Linked DNA regions of Arabidopsis thaliana. The protein of the gene in region 2 interacts with the protein of the main gene of each other region in a pairwise test. Each region holds a gene or a part of one and is shown on either strand. Other genes may lie near its edges.

Evidence for each region.
Region 1: the proteins of SLAH3 (region 2) and CPK2 interact in a protein complementation assay, tested with the Arabidopsis thaliana proteins (one study listed by BioGRID).
Region 3: the proteins of SLAH3 (region 2) and CPK21 interact in a protein complementation assay, tested with the Arabidopsis thaliana proteins (2 studies listed by BioGRID, with this or other methods).

What each region holds. Positions count from the first base shown.
Region 1 is NC_003074.8:3,333,380-3,337,138, reverse strand, and holds the start of CPK2 (calmodulin-domain protein kinase cdpk), read left to right. Parts: upstream 1-2,152; 5' UTR 2,153-2,870; coding exon 2,871-3,759. Other genes in the region: NAP7 (non-intrinsic ABC protein 7), read left to right, coding at 1-194, 387-437, 543-764, 893-1,015, 1,463-1,639, 1,731-1,814. UniProt on the Arabidopsis thaliana protein: May play a role in signal transduction pathways that involve calcium as a second messenger.
Region 2 is NC_003076.8:8,121,218-8,124,976, forward strand, and holds the start of SLAH3 (SLAC1 homologue 3), read right to left. Parts: upstream 1,698-3,759; 5' UTR 1,411-1,697; intron 1-1,410. UniProt on the Arabidopsis thaliana protein: Slow, weak voltage-dependent S-type anion efflux channel involved in maintenance of anion homeostasis. Binds to the highly selective inward-rectifying potassium channel KAT1 and inhibits its activity.
Region 3 is NC_003075.7:2,396,079-2,399,837, forward strand, and holds the start of CPK21 (calcium-dependent protein kinase 21), read right to left. Parts: upstream 1,682-3,759; 5' UTR 1,554-1,681; coding exon 851-1,553; intron 397-850; coding exon 253-396; intron 172-252; coding exon 19-171; intron 1-18. UniProt on the Arabidopsis thaliana protein: May play a role in signal transduction pathways that involve calcium as a second messenger. Mediates the phosphorylation and activation of the S-type anion efflux channel SLAC1.

The DNA.
Region 1 (3,759 bases), on a different chromosome or scaffold from region 2:
TGCGAACTACTCGCCGTTCAGTTATTGTTTCGGCGTCTTCCGTATCCTCAGCCGTCGATTCGGATTCGTTGGTGGAAGATCGTGATGACGTGGGGAGGATCCCGTTGCTTGAAGTTAGGGATTTGAGAGCAGTGATTGCTGAATCGAGACAAGAGATACTGAAAGGCGTCAATTTGGTTGTCTACGAAGGAGAGGTGCGTATTAATCAATGCAATTTTATGGTTAAGACTTGAAATTTAATTTGCAGAAAGCTTTGCCTGGTAGTGCTGTCTCATTATATGATAAAGTTTTGAGTTTGATATCATAACTTGTGAATTCTATTTGTGTGGATTTGTTTTGCATTGCTGCCGATTGTAATCCATGGCTTCTTTTGTGGTTGCTAATAGGTTCACGCAGTGATGGGGAAGAACGGTTCAGGAAAGAGCACGTTTTCGAAGGTGAACATTTTATTTGTATATCTTGTATCTCAGGATTAACATTGATGCTGCAGAGTATTGTTCTCTTTCTGTTTGTTATCTTAGTGAGAGTCTTATTATTTGTAGGTTCTTGTTGGTCATCCCGATTATGAAGTGACGGGAGGGAGTATTGTGTTTAAAGGGCAGAATCTACTTGATATGGAACCAGAGGATAGATCTCTTGCCGGTCTCTTTATGAGTTTCCAGTCCCCAGTTGAGATCCCTGGTGTTAGCAATATGGATTTCTTGAATATGGCATTCAATGCTCGGAAAAGAAAGCTTGGTCAGCCAGAGCTTGATCCAATCCAGGTGCCTTATCGAATTAAATGACTTGGATTTGGTTTGCACTGTTTCTTACTTGTTGTTGTTTGCTAAATGGTCCCAATTGTAGAACTGTCTATGTATTATGTCTTACTGATATCACATGGCTCATGCAGTTCTACAGCCACTTGGTATCAAAACTCGAAGTTGTGAATATGAAGACCGATTTTCTCAACAGAAATGTCAATGAAGGATTTAGTGGTGGTGAAAGGAAACGCAATGAGATTCTACAGTTAGCGGTAATGGTTCTGCTTCCCTTGTTTCTCAGTATCCATAAGGACTGCATATGATAAGAAACAAATGTGATTAGAGAAGGTAGTGGATTACTAAGCTTGTTCCATGCTACAGTGTGCAAAACCACAAGGCTAATAGTTAGGAATTTCAGGATATCTGGGTAGATTAGCTTAAGCAGTTACAGGTTTTACCATAAGTAGACGCGGTTATTGCATGGCAGTTAGTATTCTATTACAAGTATTTGACTGCAGTTTTAGCTAAAAAGACATGGCATGTTATATGTCTTCATATCTCTTTATATTTTCCTGATCTTGAAATATCTGCCTCCCAAGGAGTGGTCATTTCTGGTTTATCGATAACATGAGAACACTATTAGTCTCCTATTCTTTGTAAGCAATATATGGAAAGAGGTCATGGAAGTACGCTAATGCAACGTTTTCCTGTCCTTGCAGGTCCTTGGAGCTGAGTTGGCTATACTGGACGAGATTGATTCAGGGTTGGATGTTGATGCTCTTCAAGATGTGGCAAAGGCGGTGAACGGGCTTTTGACACCAAAAAACTCTGTTCTGATGATAACGCACTACCAACGCCTACTTGACTACATCAAACCAACTCTCATACATATCATGGTGAGCATTGTTGCCAAACCAGCCTTCTTTACTGGCTACACAATGATCATATATATTTTGGTAAGCTCATGTATGTTTCCTTGGGTTTCAGGAGAATGGGAGAATCATTAAAACCGGAGACAACTCCTTGGCCAAACTACTGGAAAAGGAAGGCTACAAAGCGATATCCGGTTAGTTATCGCGGATCATACATATAACCTGTCTTCCTTCTTTGAGAGACCATGGTTATTATATGGGACAAATACAATGGAAGCTAAAGCTGATGATTGGAAACTGAAATCTATCACTACAATCTTTGACCCGTAGTTTTGGTTTGCAATTTGCATGACAAACTACTTTATTGGGATGTGAACAGTATTCCACACCTTTTTGTAACTAACAAGTTTAAAATTCAGTTAATAAATTTTGTTATTATAAATGCTCTTATAAAGTTTGAGACTTTAAGTGGATCAAATCCAATCAAACCTAGTGGTTACTTACATTACTTGAGAAATTTGACAAAATAAAATTTAATTTGATTATTCTATCGCCTGCTGCTGCTGGAACGAGTTGGTAATAGAAAACAAATTCATAATTTATGACAAGAAGAACGCAAAATTCGCTGATGATTATTAAACCCAAACGCGTTTTTCAAACTCGTTCAATCAATTTCCTTCATCATCTTCATCTTCTTCGTAATTGACTTATCGAACAAGATTACACCTCCCTTTAGCTTTTTATGCAAATGTAGTGCTTTTAAGCATTCTCTCGATTTCCCTCCCTTATTTTCCGACAAATACCAAACCAATATTGTTCCTTTTCTTTTCAATCCCAGATCGATCTCTTTGTTTTCAGACAATTTCTGTTGTCTGGATTCGGTTCATTGCATCGTTCTTTGTGTTGGGTTCGTTTAAACTTTCGATTTTCCCATTTTGAAAATTTTGATTTTTTTCTTGTGGCAGATTGATTGTTGTTGTGCAAGATTCATCCGTTGCATCGACCCGAGTAGGGTTTTTGCTTGTTCCATCGGTGTTCGGAGTTTTTAAAATCATTGCCTGATCCGGAGTGATCAAATCCTATATATTGTCGTTGCACAAGAGAACCAAGTCTTAGATTATAAAGAGATTTGACTTTCACTTTTAGTGTCTATGATCATTAGGAATGAGATCAGATCAGGTCAATTTGTGTTCTTTTGATCAGATCTTGATGTGGAAAGCTTGATGCTGTTGATTATAAGTAGAGAGATATTTTGATGGGTAATGCTTGCGTTGGACCAAACATTTCTGGAAATGGTTTCTTGCAAACTGTTACGGCTGCAATGTGGAGGCCACGGATCGGAGCTGAGCAAGCTTCTTCTTCTTCCCATGGTAATGGACAAGTTTCTAAAGAAGCAGCTTCAGAACCAGCTACTGATCAAGTCCAGAATAAACCCCCTGAGCCTATCACAATGCCAAGCTCAAAGACCAATCCCGAAACTAAACTGAAACCCGATCTAGAGATCCAACCTGAAGAAAAGAAGGAGAAAGTTCTTGCAGAAGAAACCAAGCAGAAAGTTGTTCCTGAAGAAAGTAAGCAGGAAGTTCCTCCTGAAGAAAGTAAGCGGGAAGTTGTTGTGCAGCCGGAGTCAGCAAAACCAGAAACAAAGTCTGAATCCAAGCCAGAGACAACAAAACCAGAAACAACGTCTGAAACCAAGCCAGAGACGAAAGCTGAACCTCAGAAGCCTAAACATATGAGGAGAGTGTCCAGTGCAGGGCTTAGAACTGAGTCAGTGTTGCAGAGGAAAACTGAAAACTTTAAGGAGTTCTATTCATTAGGGAGGAAACTTGGACAAGGGCAATTTGGGACGACGTTTTTATGCCTTGAGAAAGGTACTGGGAACGAATATGCGTGCAAGTCGATTTCCAAGAGGAAGCTTTTGACTGATGAGGATGTTGAAGATGTGAGAAGAGAGATTCAGATAATGCATCACTTGGCTGGTCATCCGAATGTTATATCTATTAAAGGTGCTTATGAGGATGTTGTTGCGGTACATCTTGTGATGGAGTTGTGTTCGGGTGGCGAGCTTTTTGATAGAATTATTCAACGTGGACATTACACTGAGAGGAAAGCTGCTGAGCTTGCGAGAACCATTGTTGGGG
Region 2 (3,759 bases):
ATTATTCACAGTAAAAGGACTTCTAGCGAGTTCTTGATTCATTAGAATTTTACCTATTCCCTTCGCAATTGCTCTATAACATGGTTTGGAAAATGAATTTGGGATTTATATTTTCTAAAATCATAAACTAATAAAATCTAGTGGTTTAATTAGGCCGATAATTAAATAAATCTGACCTAAATTCTCCACATTTAAACATCATACCTAATATACATTTTGCAAAGTCTAGTGGTGTTGCCACTAAGCTGGTTTCCCAGCTGTATAGAATTAGACTATACTTAGTCACTTACCCTATATTTATTGGAAAATGATGCATGTTATCGGCTAGAAAGAAAAAAGAAGGCCACTATTGTTTGTTTATCCAAAACAATTGCACTTAAAACCTATAAATACTAGTGTGCATTTGGGCGCCTTTGAGAATTCTCCTCAAATCAAACAACAATCATAAATAGAAAAACAAGAAAGCACAAAGAATAGAATAAATACAGTTTTCTCTATTTTTTTCGTTTTCGAATTTTAAGCTTTCCTTTTGGTTTCTGACTTTGAGTGGAGTAAATTCTTTGAATATTTGTTTAAGAGAAACTATAATTTTAGAAAACCAACAAAACTGTAATTTTAGAACTGCATTAATAAACCCTTTATTGCGATGTTCCACGTCAATGATCAAAGCTAAACCAATCTAAAACATCGCTGTTTCAAAAAGTCGTAGGTAAAATCAAGACTCCCATAATTAGGAAATTAAATATATAAAAAGCTAACTAAATTGGTTTTAATTAACGAAACAAAAACTCCTATTAACAACAGAAATAAAATTATATATATATATATATATTTCTTTTTCCTTTCTTTTTGGCTGTACAAGAAAAAAACTTTAGAAGAAAAAAACAAAATAGCAAAAGATCTTAAATGGATGGTGTGGTGCTATGTGCCCATCAACTCATCGGGTCCACTTCAAAGTTATGGCTCGACCGGCCAACAACGCTTATGAATATTTACGCGTTTAAACGCTATTGTTCATGTTCCATCGCTTGTGAAAACCGGTTTGAACATATAAAAATCACATACATGTACTAGTATTAGTAAACCAGGAATCTTTGTAAATTTTACATCACATTGGTTCACAGCTAAATTGGCATTTGGGGTTTAGTAAGGTAATTTTTGGTTTCTGGAATCAATTTGGGTTTAAGAAAGAAAGAACGAGGAGAAAAAAAAAAGAAAAGAAAAATCAATTAATAAATTTATTAGTTCGTAATAAGAACCCTAAGGTCATATAAAAGAAAATCAAGAATCGCATGTAGCCTATGCATGTTCTCAAGAAAGGATTCACAAAAATGTTGTTTGTGATGTAATGAACTTTGTTAACTACGAATCCAAAAACAAAAAAATGGAGAAATGGAATAAAACACTAACCTGACGATTTTGAAATTTTGCAGCCGTAGAAATCAGAAATGGTGTTTAAAATCTACAGATCTTCTCTTATTCTTGTAGAGATAAGAATTGTGTTTTGGTAGGGAAAGAAGCGAAGACGAATTAGGAGAAAATAGAAAAAAAGCGAGTTGGTTTGGGCGAAAACAAAACACGTCTTTGTACTATAAATAAGTGTTCACGTAAGTACAGTTACGGAAACATGATAGTGTATGTATTTGTTAAATGTATAGCTGTAATTCAAAGCTTTCAACGTGGCCGTCTTCTTGTTGATCAACTAGTCATGGTTCACGTCATTGACAATCTCAAGTAATTTTTTGTTCTTTTTATTATTTTTTGTCACAATTATTTAGTTTTTTTAAGCATTGGTCAATAGGTGGTGGACCACATTATACGAAACGGCCAAAAAACAAGGAAATTTTTAAAATATATTTATGAAAATGAAGTTAATATGGTATTTAACAAAGGGAAAAAACCCAAAAAAGATCTCAATTAATTTTTATTTGGACGTTTAATACCCAATTATTTTTTGTTGGAAGATAAATACACGAAATAATAAAATCGTACAATTTAATACACAAATAATTAATTGTTGTTATTTTCATACTCACGATCTCACAACAAAAATAAAATTGCAATTTATCCTTACCATCTCAATTAACTATTTTTTTTTTGATAATATGATATTAATTTTATAATTTTGAATAAAAATTAATTTTATTAATATTTTAGTTTATGATAATATGATATTAATTTTTATTGTGAGATCGTGAGTATGAAAATAACAACAATTACTTGTTTGTGTATTAAATTGCACGGTTTTATTACTTCGTGTATTTACTTTCCAACCAAAAACAATTGGGTATTAAACGTCCAAATAAAAATTAGTTGAAGTTTTTTTTGGGTTTTTTAACATTTAACAAATGCATAAAATATTATTTTGCAAAAGAAAAATAAATAAATAACTTTGAGTCTTGGTTTGTTTGATAATTTTTCTAATTTTTTTTCTTTGTTAAATATAATTACATAAATGATAAGCTTTTAAATCTTTTCATAATAAATATAACGTTTTTTTTTATCATATAAATGATGAGCTTTTTTGTTATTTATTCGTTTTTTGTTAATGTTTTAGAAATATAGTCAAGTTTTACTGGAAGGAAGAACAATACAATATGTTTGTTTGGGAGTAAATTCAGCTACGAAGTATATTTACCAATTACAATGCGACAAATAGATTTTAGATCCGCATGCACTTTTTTATAAACAGTTCTCCATATCCGTGTCTATCAGACATCTCCAAAAATTACTTAAGTGCAAAAAAGATAATTTGCATCATGCCACATAGAAAAAAGTTGACAATGGAGATGGACATAGCATGCAAAGTTAGTCATTATTGCAGCAATTTAACCAGCATGGATGCTTTAGATGGCGTATTATTGGGAGGCTACTTGAACTGAACCTACAGAAATAATTCCTACATAAGACTGATATCGCAAAGCAATGTACTTTAAGTTTTGGACTTTGGTTATCCAGTATCCAAAAATCTAATTTTTCGTTTTCACAAGGTAATGTATTTATTCCTAGAAATATGGTTTTACAATTTTGTTTTTACCACCTTATTGTTTTTCTATTCATAAATTCAAAAAATTTCACGTCTATTTCTCTTATATGGATTCTATCTTTTCATAACGTTTAAATTTTTGGAATCTGAGTTGGCGATGTTTTTGATATCTGTTTTTTTTTTTTTTTTTTTGGCTCGGGTATATAATATAATTAAAAATCATTTGCCAACAAGTTATCTATAACAGAATTATGGGCTAATTAATTAGGTGTATAGCCAAATTGTGGGATGGAAAAATACAACAAAACTGTTTTTAAGGAATCGAGTACACAAAACGAGTAATCCGCATTTTTTGGGGTAAATTACACAAAGAAATAGGAAAGAGGAAGAAACCAAGTTGGTTCACAAAACTTCTTCGCATAGATTGTGTCGTTAGGTACGTTTTTGGTTGATTGTTTGAATTAGGATTTTAGCTGTCACCGAATTGATTTTTCTTTATTTGTCCAGTTATATGAATATATTATATCTTAGTGAGTTAATCATAAATATAATAGTTTTTGGTTCCTGTCTACATGCGCTGTACATGAGTTTTGTCTTTAGAGCGGACAAAACTTAGGTTTGACCTAAAGCAGATTGATAATGCCAAAAGTAATAAAAATAAGATACACACCGGCAAACGTTTTGTAGATAGGTAATTTAAGGTTTTCCTATTAAAGTAATTTATCATCTATTAGATTGGTCTAATCGGTTGATGTAAATTATGTAACTGATCA
Region 3 (3,759 bases), on a different chromosome or scaffold from region 2:
GTATTCACATTGTCTTACCAAGAACCTGTGCAGCCGTGATTCGTCTCTTCGGGTCTTTGGTTAGCATCTTCCTAACAAGATCTTTCGCGCTTTCAGATATAGAAGGCCATGGCTCACTTACAAAATCAATTTCGCCTTTTATGACCTCATCGAATATTCCTTTCTCATTTTCTAAAATATAACATATGAATATAGATCACACCTCAAGAAGAAAACAAATCAATGAATTTGGTTAGCTTAAAGGTCTTTTACCGGCCCAAAAAGGAGGTACACCGCTGAGTAGGATGTATAAAATGACACCTGCACTCCAAATGTCGATTTCTTTTCCGTAACTTCGCCTTAATACTTCTGGAGCAACGTAGTAAGCACTCCCAACTATATCCCGGTAAACTTTTCCTGCATTTGTTGGTTTCACAGACATATCATGAAGCATATTAACATAAGAATCAAACTAATGAAAATTACATACTTGACAATATCATAAAGATGTGTACAAAAGACAAGATAAACTCGATTCTCGGTACTAAAGTGTCTTGAGTCTCATCCCTATGCATTGGAACATAAGACAACAATCTAGCTCATGATCAACGGAAAAAAAAAGTGCAGATCTTAAATACCAAAGAATATGATCAATCTTCAATGAACAGAGAAAACACAAAATCAATTGTTTTGACCATGACACTCTCACTGTTACTCGAAAACAAGAAGTACTCAAGCTAGAGATCACAATGCAATGAACTACCAAACTCTTAATCTTTGACACTAAAGAGACTAGACAAGCTTATAGATTCCAAACACTAACAATCCAAAACCAAAGACCAAAAAAGGCTATATTGAGTCTCTAGCTAACCTTCTTCGATGAAGACGGACAAACCGAAATCAGTAGCTTTAAGCATAGCATTCTCCTCTTTACTCGAAAGCAAGAAATTCTCAGGCTTGAGATCTCGATGAACCACACCCATAAAATGACAAATCTGAACAACATTGACAATAGACCTAATGATACCAGCAGCAGCTCTCTCAGAGTAATGACCTTGAGCTATAATCCTATCAAACAACTCACCACCAGCACACAACTCCATAACCAAATGTATAGATTGTCTATCTTCATAAGCACCTTTGATCTCAACAATGTTAGGTTGTCCAGACAAATACTGCATTATCTGAATCTCTCTCTTCACATCTTCTTTATCTTGCTTACTAATTAGCTTCCTCTTAAGAATCGATTTGCAAGCATAAGTGTTACCAGTACCAATCTCTTTACACATATACGTAATCCCAAATTGACCTCGACCTAATTCTTTCCCCAAGCTGTAAAATTTCCTGATGTCTTCGAATGGTTTACCTAAAATCGTATCTGGATCTCGAACTGAGACTGGATTTGAAGACGGTGTTGAAATCTGCTGATGGATTGGTTGAGTCATGGGTTTTGGTGTTGGGGTTTGAGGTTTACGATGCTCGGGGACTACATGGGTTTGAACTGGATTGATCGGGATTGATTTTTCTCCGCCGTCGTTTTGAGTTTTCCGGTGTTTACTGCTGAAGCAACCCATTAGTAAAGGAGGAGACTTTCGTTATTGGGTAGAAGAAAAAGATGAGCTTGAAGGATGATTGGAAGAGAGAAACCAAAATCGGAAGAATAATTGAGTTGTGAAGGTTTTGTTTGACTGGAATTGGAATTATCTATCAGTCGCGTCAATTTCTGAGTGTAATAGATAGAACTGTTTAAGTAAATTGTCTTTTGTCTTTGTCAATTTGCTGAAAATAAAATATCCACAATAAATTAATTATATTTAAAATAAATTAAATTTGACTTACATTTTTCAAAGGAATTTTATGGTAAAAAAATTTCGAATATTTGTTCTGGAACGGAAAAATTCCTTGTTTTATTGGACGGGTACAGAATATTCCATTTATAATTAGAAAAGTATTGAATTTCGAACTGTCAAGTGTCAATATTATTTTTAATTTCAAAAAAAAAATAGTGTCAATATTACTTTGATATATTTTTCCATTACAGCTGATATAAAAAAAAGGTTAATGATAAAAAATAACCATAAAATTAAACAAAATTAAAAAAATAATTTTTTGTCAGAAAATTTAGATAAATAACATTTTTTAAAGTAGAATAAATACTAAAAAATATCTTTCTATTTTCTTGTTTCTACAATAATGCCAGTGATAATAAATCAGAGTTGATTAACATCTGAATAAAAAACATGAATTATTTACAGACAACATAGTATCTAAATGAATTAATATTTTATTAAAACAATACATGACAATTATAAAAGGAACATGCATTATTCAGAAGAAATACATCTTATTGTTCGGATAGGTATGAATAATATTACAGTAGAGAACATGAAATATTTAAAAGGTGTAGATCTTTTATATAATACCATGTATTTTTAGAAAATGCATGTCTAATATAAAATGAACATGCATTATTCAAAAGAAACATATCTTATTGTTTGGATGGGTAGGAATAAGATACGTGATTACAATAGAGGACATGAATTATTTAAAAAGTGCAGATCATGTCAAATAAATACACTGCTTTTAGACAAAATACATGCCTAATATAAAAGTAACATGATATATGAAATGATAACATAACATTGAAAGAAAATCTTAAACTTTTGAGGGTGAAAGCAAATCTCAGATTCTAAAAAGAAACGATATCGGAAATAGGTAAATCCTATATAGACCAAATAAATGGAAGAGCTCAATGGTTGAACCACCAAATTGATGAAAACCAACACCGTGAACGGCTATAGTCAAATGATTTACTAGAGCTTGTGGTGGTTATTGTGATGGAGATGGTTATGGAGAAGGTGATGATGGTTTCGGAGAAATAAAAAATTAATGTACGGTTTGGTTTAGTTAGGGTAAAAGTGTCATAAATGAGGTGTAAAAGTTATTTTCTCTCTCATACTTTTTATCTATGGTTATTCTCTTTATTCTTTTGTTGTCAAAGGTTAGTTAGTATATATACTCTAAAAAAATAGTATCGATCTCTTTAATTCGCCGCTACGAAGGCTTTGATTGGGCCTTGTATAATATTGAATTTTCCTTTGCGATGATGACTAGAAGTTGTTGATTACTCATGAGAGAAAGATAAGTTTGTTTTTTCTTGGGATAATGAGAGCTATTTACAATGTTATTTAAAGCCATGAAAAAACAAATTTAAATAAAAGATATGATTTGAACTTAATTTTGTTGTGTTGCCACTTCTTAAGTTTGATAAGCTAGTAAGTGTGATAAGCTAGTGAGTTTGATAAACTAGTAAACTCTAAATATATTATGAGTTTGATAAGCTAGTATGCTCTATATATATATATATAGTTGTGCAAAAACTTATTATAAGTTTGATAAACTAGTAAATATATATATGTGAGTTGTGCAAAAACTTACTATAAGTTTGAATAAGATAGTAAGCTCCATATCTACTATGTGTTTGATAAGCTAGTAAGCACCATATATATATTTTGTGTTTCATATGATTTATTGCATAATCAATTGTTCATTTAGTAAACTTACTATTATGCATAGTAATTTACTAAAGGAAAAAAGATTGCTAGCTACACGAAGTATAAGAGAATACATGGTCACACATACCAACTATACTATTGTATATCCAGCTACACGAAATAGATGTATTCCATAACCACGTATATGAAGTATAGGACGTCATGTAGTTAACACCATAAACATACAATTCCGGTAAACCGGTCAGTTGACTCCGGCACTGACTAG